2 linked regions of the Mus musculus genome follow. Each later gene encodes a partner of the first gene's protein in a complex. Links are inferred from orthologs where the notes say so. Each region holds a gene or a part of one and is shown on either strand. Other genes may lie near its edges.

Region 1 (4,260 bases):
AAAGTTCTTTTTAAAAATCGATAGGGCATTTTGAGCTCATACTCAACTAGCTGGGCAGCATTCCTAGAATCCAGACATATACACAAAGTAAGGGTGAGGAAGGGAGACAGGGAGAGCACAAACTAAGGGTAGTGGCGCAGGGGTTCGGGAAATTGTTTTGACAGTTTTCATCTTTGTCCTTTTGCACTGGGTCAACCTCCACAGAGCTTTTGGTGGTTTCCAGGGAGATGGAAGTGTGGGAGACTTTGGGGATGATCTGAAACTTCTAAACACCAAACAGGGTATTTAGGACTCCGGGAGGTAGCCAGTCTTCTCCCTAATAACTTGTCTATTTAAATCCTCTCTGTTCTTCCCATATATTTAGATGAGTCGGAGTCGGTGTATCTGAGTCAGCTATGGCAAAGGGAAGAGGCTTTTGCGAGTGTCTTCCGCCAAACTTGAGACTGGAAGATGAGAATACACGGAAGTAATCTCTGACTCAGCCTGCCCAAGGCTAGGGTGTTGTGGCATTCCCCACGAGTGACGCACTCCCAAGATAGGTGACTTCATGTATCATGGGACTTATTCCACCACTGACTCCACCCCATAGCCTCCTCTGCTTCTTCTCTCACTTCCCAGCCCCACCTCCCTCTCAAGATCAGAGAGGGACCGGTGGTAGTGGCTGCAGCCTAGAACTGTCTTTCTCATAGGCAGGGAGCAGAGGGACCCAGTGTTTGGCAAAATGCAAAAAGTGGTACTCATTTTCCCTTCTCCAGACGCTTCGCTCTTCTGGTTAAGGCTATCCTTACTCTTCCTTAACATCAAAGTGTACTATCGTACTCGAGGCAACCTGATCCTCTAGGCAGTCATTCTAGTTACAGCTTTTTCCCTCATCCACTGTTTTCCTTTGAGTCCAGAATTCTCAGTAGGAAGTAGAGAGAGTCTCGCCTCTGCCTCTTTCCTGTTCTAGCGGTATGACCTTGACTAACCCGCAACTTCCCTGGCCCTAGTTTCTTTGTCTGTTAAGCAGGGTCCACACGTCTGGCGCACCAAGAAGGCGCGGGATGAGCCGTAAAAAGGCGAAGAAAACGCTTGCAGCCTCCTGGGGAAAGTTGTCAGTCTTCAGAGCCCCTCCCTTTCCTCTGGGAACGCCCAGCCAACGCAGCCTCCGGCTGTCACTTCCTCCACCTCTCACCTCTCGGTCCGCGCGCGCGCGGCGCCGGGTGTTGGCGTCACAGCCGGCGCACGCCGCCGCCAGGCCCCGCCCCTCGTCCGCGCCTGGCCTCCCGCGGGGCCCCGCCCACCGGGGCGACGCGGCGCTGGCCCCGCCCCACGGGTGACGCGTAGCGCGCGCGGCCGGGCCGCCCCGGCAGTTGGTGCAGCGGCGGTTGGGGCGAGTGCGCTCACCCCACCCCTCCCCTCCTTGGCCAGGGCTCCGGCCCCCACCCCGCGGGGCCCAGCCCCAGCCCCAGCCTCCGCCGGGCCCGTCCCGTGCGGGCCCGTGCCACCCCTCAGCCGGCGACGCCCGGGGCCGCCCGCCCGCCCGCCACCATGGAGCTGGAGGACGGTGTGGTATACCAGGAGGAGCCCGGAGGCTCCGGGGCCGTGATGTCAGAGCGGGTGTCCGGCCTGGCCGGCTCCATCTACCGCGAGTTCGAGCGGCTCATCGGGCGCTACGATGAGGAGGTGGTCAAGGAGCTGATGCCACTGGTGGTGGCCGTGCTGGAGAACCTGGACTCGGTGTTCGCGCAGGACCAGGAGCACCAGGTGGAGCTGGAGCTGCTGCGGGACGACAACGAGCAGCTCATCACCCAGTACGAGCGGGAGAAGGCGCTGCGCAAGCACGCCGAGGAGGTGAGGGCCGGCGGGGGCGGGGGTCGCAGCCGGGCTGGGGACGCTGGGCGCGCCAGGCGCACCAACGCGCCAGGGTGGACTCCTGAAGGGCAGGCCCGAATCCAGGGCCCGGGACAGTGCTCCGCAGCGTCTCGGGACCCCGGGACACTGGCCGGTGCTGGAAGCCTAGGCAGGCCAGCGAGTGTCCAGGAGAGGGGTGAAGTGGGAGGAAGGCCGGGGGAGGAAGCGACACTCTGGCATCTGAGGGCACCTGGGACTGCCCGAGGGCGGAGACTTGAGGGTGTCTGGTTGCTTCTTGTTTAGGGAAGTTTCCGACCACCGTAGGATAGTCGGGTGCGGGTTCAAACTTTTAGCATGGGGAGGGGCAGTGCTGTCCTGCCCGTGTCAGTTCCGCTGGCTTCGGTACCTTTCCAGGGGGGGCTGCTGCTGCTTTGGGAAGTTAGAGATCTCCCTCTTTCGGTCAGTTTCTTCTTGACATTTAGATCCTCTTGAGAAGGAAGTCTACCTATGTACCCTTTTTTTTTTTTTCCATTTAATTTTAACACTTAGTCAACCACTTAGAAGTCGACTAGCAGAGTCCAGTAAGTACATACAGTACATTCATTTACTTTATTAATGTTCCTCACAGAGGAATGTTCCTCCTTCGTGTCAGGTGGTAACCTTGGACAGTTCCCTGACAGCCTCCTCTATTTATAAAGACTGGGGGGCGGGGTTGAGAAGGTGTGGGTGAGTGTTACAACACTTGTCCTGTCTGCGTTTGCTTTGCATCCTGCAGTTTCTAAGTGCACTTGGCTGGCTCTTTGCTCGAACACCTGAGCGGTGACCTTTGTACTCGTCACCTGAGTGTGTGAGCCTTTTTGGATCCTGGGCTGTAAATGATCCTCTAGCTTTTTGAGCGAGTTCAGGATTTTAGCCTGCAGGCTGAGCGCCCTGGCATTGTTTCTGAAGAACCTTTCTTCGGCAGTCAAAATGCTCTCCTTGTTTTTGTGCCAGACATCTACTGTACCTAGCTAAATACATGGTGATTGAAGGAGACTAATTATCGAAGGAACCACGTGTTGTTTTTCAAAACTACATGACGCGGTAGAAGAATGTGACATTTGTTTGGCAGCTCAGTTCCTAGCATTAAATAGGCAGTTTATTTTGTTATTTGTGCCTCTGCATTCAGGTAAATGATTCTTTTTTTTTTTTTTTAAAGTCATGATTATAGTGGCGCTTTGTAATTGAGATTTTGCAGTCCACCTATCTTAAAGAAAGGCATTGAATTTGCCAAACAAAATTGACTTTATTTCAAGAGTATGTTTACAAATAAACACGGAGGGAGGGTTGAAAAGAAGACAAGGCCACAGCCCCGTTAGTTTCTTGGTTTATAAAACAGATCAAGGCCTTTAAGGTGGCGTGCCACTTGGGTGCCACTTGCCACTGATACAGACTTTTGTCATGATGTGGATGCAGTTGGAAGAGAGTGGGGCCAAATATACACAGATTAGGAGCAAGTTCAATGTAACCTATTACCTCTGGTTAAAAAAAAAAAGGAAATGTTCCCTCCAGCCTTAGCCTGCGGACAGGATGAAGTGCCGAGGTTACACAGTCCAAGAAAACCAGCTGTTACAGGTTACAGAATCAGAAAATAAAACTGCTAGGCTTTGTTTTCTTTATTTTTCTTTATTTGTTCATTTATTTTGGTTTTTCAAGACAGGGTTTCAGTGTGTGGCCCTGGCTGGCTATCCTGGAGCTTGCTCTGTAGACCAGGCTGGCCTGGGACTCACAGAGATCCCCCTGTCACTGCCTACCTAATGCTGGGATCAAAGGCATGCACCACCTCTGTCCGGCTTATATTTATTTAAGTAAATGACTTTAAAAACAGTCTGTTCACTAGGTTTCTTTAACATTTATACTTCTTAGTTAAATCTGTCACATCTCCATAATGAAATGTTTGGGTAGACTCCTGACCTGAGAATTAACAGCACTGATGAGATGCTAGACGAACCCTGCCCTAACCACAAACATAAAACCCCAGCAGCAGCAGCAACAGCAGCAGCAGCAGCAGCAGCAGCAGCACTACTCATGGAAGATGCTAAGCGGTTTTGCCTATACCTAGGAGTTCAGTCTTCCAGGCCAGTGTACAGAGTGGATCCTGTTTAATTCTCTCCCTGAATGCTCAGTGCCTTTAACCCAGAGATTAAGAGCATGTGCTTATAGCAGAAGTGCTCCAGGGAGGGTATTTACAAAGTAATTTGAAAGCATGGTAATTGTTCATCTCTAGAGCATAAAGTAAATTTTGGGTATCTTTGTGGGAACTTAAGAAGGCCTGGGAATGGTGAAGGTGTTAAGGAACCTATGAGGTGCTGTAATCTCTTGCTTGCAGAAATTGCCAGAGAGGGGGCAGGAATGTAATTTCTATTATAATGGTTGTACTTAATTTGA
Region 2 (4,482 bases), on another chromosome or scaffold:
TGCTTTAGGTTAAATGTTTTACTTACAGCTCATTTTTGTATAGCCTCCTGCTTCTCCTACATCTTTGGTAAAAGCTCCATTATACAATATGGCCAAAACATGAAGGACCAATACTGTCCAACTTTACCATGATATCCGGCTTGATTTTAATTTTCAGACACCCTCATTAAAAAAAAAAAAAAATTCCACCTTTTCCAGTACACTGCCTGTGCAGTCTACATTTCCCAAATTCCCTAAGTTTAATTCCTTGAGGATCGCTAAATTAATCCTTAAGGCTACAGAGAAACCAGAAGCTGCTTCACAATTCGGAATGACATTAACATTTGGTTCAAAAAGTTACTATAGTGGTCTCCATCTAGTTACAGGTCCTAGCCAGATCATCTTAAGATCCGGATACAACCAGCACAATGCTTACCCTTAAAGTTAATTTACATTCATTGTCATCTGTAGGTTCTTCCCGTCCAGCCTACTTCCCCTTTGTCATCCACATCTAAGCCATTCATTCAGCACATTTCCTTCCTTACAGGAGATAGATATACTACCGAACCAACAGGATATCTGCAGGAGTAAACCCTACAATCAAGCAAAACTAAATACCTTTTTAAAATAAAACATCTTTTCCAGTGTCTTAATGGAGATGTAGATCACTCATCTATTTAAAAAATGTCATTATCTTCGGTCTAGTCAGCTGCTGTAACGTGAAAACAGGAATGTGTATTTTCTTTCCAGCTACGTTAAAGGGGCATATAATTTGACTTTTTAAATGTTTTATTAGTGAGCAAATGTTTAGTAATTTTAAAACTACTGGTCTTAAGACATTTGAAACAAGGTAACATTCCAGTTTTGTCCAAAAGTCACTTTAAAATATCTACAAATATTTCATCTGTGTGAGGCATACACCATTATTGCTCCATTTTCTGGAAAGAGTATTTTTAAAGGTAAGAAGAGGGAAACAGCGAAGTTGCTAACTTTGCAGTGGAAGAGACCTGTAGGCTTTACAGGCTGCGCTGCTTGTTCTAGGCGGCAGTTAGCTAGGGTGAAGGGAGCTCGAGCTGTACTCCTCCTCATGCACGTTAATGGCTGACACTGCCAGGGGCTCCTGACATTACCTGTCTGACACACTCATGTGCAACTGGAACATTACACTGCTATTACTCATTATCTTGCCACTGTGGGCTTAGTTCACCATACTGGTCTTGGCTATAAAAGGTCACATTTGAAACTGCTAAAGTTAGCGCTAAGGAGGAAGGGGGGGGAGGCCTTAAATATAAAAGACAAACGGCAGTTTGATTAAGCAATAATTTTCAGTTTACTAGATGAAACAGACTTGGAACATAGTCTGCATGAATGCAAAATAAGCCATCTACAGCAAGTGATAAGAACCTGGGCAAAAAGGAAAAAAAGCATACATGGGGGGGAAGATTCTCTCGAAATAAAAAAATCAAACCATTATTATAAAGGACTTTACCAAGAGTTGCTATTACCCCACCCCGTTTGCTGGAAGTCACAAGGCATCTAGCACTGTATTCGTGTCAAATGTCAGATCAGAGCATCCTAACGCAAAGCCAAGAGGGAAAAAAAAAAAAAAAAGGAAACAAAGAAAACCCCCAACCCCACTAAACTGTAGAACAGTAACTCCAGAGTTCAGATTCAAAAAGAGAGTGGCAATTCAAAGAGGTGATGGAGGTGGCGATAATCCTAGGAATGGGTTTTGGATTTCTCTCCTTCCGGGGGCTGGGTGGAGGACGCTCATTAGGATTTGTAGTTAGAGGTTAACCATGTGAGCCCCTCATAGAGTCCGTCCCCGGAGGTGGCACAGGAGGGCTGCACATACCAGTTCCTGTCCCGAATCCGGGTCAGGCCCAGTTTCTCCTGGATCTCATGGGGTTTCATGGCATCGGGCAGGTCCTGCTTGTTGGCGAAGATGAGGATGATGGCGTCCCTCATCTCCCGGTCATTGATAATGCGGTGCAGCTCCTGGCGGGCCTCGTCGATGCGGTCGCGGTCGGCGCAGTCTACCACGAAGATCAGACCCTGGGTCCCGGTGTAGTAATGCCGCCAGAGCGGCCGGATCTTGTCCTGGCCGCCCACATCCCACACGTTGAACTTGACGTTTTTGTAAGTCACCGTCTCCACGTTGAAGCCCACCGTGGGGATGGTGGTCACCGATTGGCCCAGCTTCAACTTGTACAGGATCGTTGTCTTGCCGGCTGCGTCCAGGCCCAGCATGAGGATCCGCATTTCCTTGTTCCCGAAGATCTTGGATAGCACCTTCCCCATCGCGTCGGAAGAGCCGGGGCCGGGGGCATTCAGGTGTCCCGGGTCCCCTCAAGCCTACAACGCCGCCGCGAGCCCGAAACGTCGCCGCCCCGCTGCGAGGACGCCCTGCGGCCTGCGCGAAGCTGCCGGCTAGGGGAGCAGGGGCCCGGCCTGCGCTCACTCGGGCATCGCCCGCCGCCGGGGCCCTGCGTCTGCGCCGGGAGAGCCGCCGCCCTGCTCAAGCGAGGCGAGGCGAGGCGCGGCCGGCCCGGAACTGCCCTTCCCCCCCGCAGGCGCCGCGCGAACGAGCGAGCGAGCAAGCGCCGCCGACAGCTCCTCCGCCGCCTCGGCACGCGCCGGCTCCAACTGCGGCCGGCCTGCCGGCCTGCGAGCACCGGACTCGGCACCGACCCCGGTCACCACCCCGACGACGAGCGCGGCTCGGCGCCCGGTCAGGTCATGGATCCTCGCGGGAACTCGCGGGTGCTCGCCTGCAGGGACACAGAGAGGGAGAAGGGAGTTACCGCCGGGCCTCCGAGGGGGCGCCCAGACCGACGCGGCCCGCCTTTCGGGCTCGGCCCTTGAGGTTACCTCCAGCCGCCGCCCCGAGCGCGGGTTCCCTCCGGCCTCCACCTCCTCCTCCTAGCTCTGCTGCCGCCGCCGCCGCTGCCGGAAAAGGCGCCGAGGAAACCGCCTCACTTCCCCTCCCAACTGCGCACGCGCGCCTCGGCCCGACCGTTCGGAAGAGCGCGACCTCTGAAAGGAGAGTGGCCCGCGCTCTCGACGTCACGAGCGCCACGCGCCGGGGGGCGGGGCTACGGCGGCTCCCGGGGCTCAACGCCGGCGCCTCGCGGAACCTGCTGGCGTGGGGCTGGCCGTGTGCCCACCTGTCGCTCTACCCGGGGTCTCCGCGGGTCTCCTTCTCCGCCACTCGAAGGCGGGGCACGGATCCACCGAGGGCGGGCTTCGTCGGCCCTTAGGACCGGCGCCCCAGCCACGCTTCCCAGGCTCGCTCCCGGACCCCCTGCGCGAAGCCCCTCCCGCTCTCCCCAGCCTTCCTTCAGTTTCCTGGAAGACACGTGGGAGGCCAGTGTTCCATAGAATCCGCCAAAGTAGCCCGCACTTTTTGTACTCGAGTTGGGTCTGCCCCTAAGCCCTGCCTTTGAAAGTTTAAACTCGTTCTTTATAAGTCTGGTCTGAACCGCCCGCATTTCTTAAGAAACAGACTATCAGGGCCGACGAGATGACTGTGGGTAAAGCCTGCCACCGAGAGGGCGGACCCGCCTTCGTTCCCCAGGAAGGAGAGAACCAACTCCCTTGAATTGACTTCTGCTCTCCACGTACTATAAGGAAACTCTTTGGGTTTTGTTCTTATTTTCAAATACTTTTTTTCATTTAGTGTGCGTACGCACGGAGAGAGGTCAGAGGACAACCAAAGTCAGTTCTCCCCTTTCTTCATGTGGGTCCCAGGTATCAAGTCAAGCTTGGCGCCCGACGCTTTTACCTACTAAGCCATCTTGCTGGACCAGGAAACCTTTTTGTATTAAACGGATAGTGTTAAGGTTAAAGTAAGGTGAAATTTTTAATAAAAATAAACACGGGGAGAAAACTTAAGTTCAAGGAAGTTGCTACAACAGCATATGATAATATACTGTTTTTATTTTATAATTAAAAAAAAAAAAAAAGGAAGTCATCTGGTACAGCTCACACCTGTACCAGAAGTGATGAGACTGAGGCAGAGAGGGTCGCTGTAATTCTAGGTCAGTCTAGGCTAGAGAGTGTGCCACTCTATTTAACAAGTACTGGCCTCACAGTCGCTCAGGGTTATCTGAAATTATTCTCCAGCCTCCACCTCCCAGGACAGGGGTGACCCAATGGAGCAACAGGTATTTGAAACCACAGCAGGCTTTTTACTTGACTGAAGATTCGAACTCTGGAACTTACTGCTTACAAAGCAAGTGCTTTTTAATGCACCAAGCCATCTTCCCAGCCCCAATAATAAATGATTAAAGAATAATTATAGTACAAAACAAATAGCAATAGTCAGAAACTAGTCGCCAATAGTAAGAATTAAACTCTCTATGCCATGCTTTAAAAAAAATAGGTCAGTTTGGGGCTGGTTGATACTGCTCAGTGATTAAAGCACTTGTCACCCACCCTGACTTGGAGGACACCAAGCAAAATGTAATTTAAAGACATTCAAGGTGGTGTATGCCTTTAACC

Evidence for each region.
Region 2: the proteins of Spag9 (region 1) and Arf6 are in contact, whole or in part, in a crystal structure (PDB 2W83), measured with the Homo sapiens proteins. The link is inferred for Mus musculus from reciprocal best matches to the Homo sapiens genes SPAG9 and ARF6. Residues at the interface, in NP_001124000.1 of Homo sapiens: Lys431, Asn432, Ile435, Val438, Asp439, Thr442, Cys443, Asp446, Val447, Gln449; in NP_001654.1 of Homo sapiens: Glu13, Arg15, Lys34, Phe47, Val49, Glu50, Thr51, Thr53, Lys58, Asn60, Trp62, His76, Tyr77, Thr79.

Annotation. Positions count from the first base shown.
Region 1 is NC_000077.6:93,994,741-93,999,000, forward strand, and holds the start of Spag9 (C-Jun-amino-terminal kinase-interacting protein 4), read left to right. Parts: upstream 1-1,350; 5' UTR 1,351-1,530; coding exon 1,531-1,833; intron 1,834-4,260. UniProt on the Homo sapiens protein: The JNK-interacting protein (JIP) group of scaffold proteins selectively mediates JNK signaling by aggregating specific components of the MAPK cascade to form a functional JNK signaling module.
Region 2 is NC_000078.6:69,370,592-69,375,073, reverse strand, and holds the start of Arf6 (ADP-ribosylation factor 6), read right to left. Parts: upstream 2,925-4,482; 5' UTR 2,851-2,924; intron 2,751-2,850; 5' UTR 2,281-2,750; coding exon 1,753-2,280; 3' UTR 1-1,752. UniProt on the Homo sapiens protein: GTP-binding protein involved in protein trafficking that regulates endocytic recycling and cytoskeleton remodeling. GTP-bound form plays an important role in the transport of multiple palmitoylated proteins form the Golgi to the plasma membrane.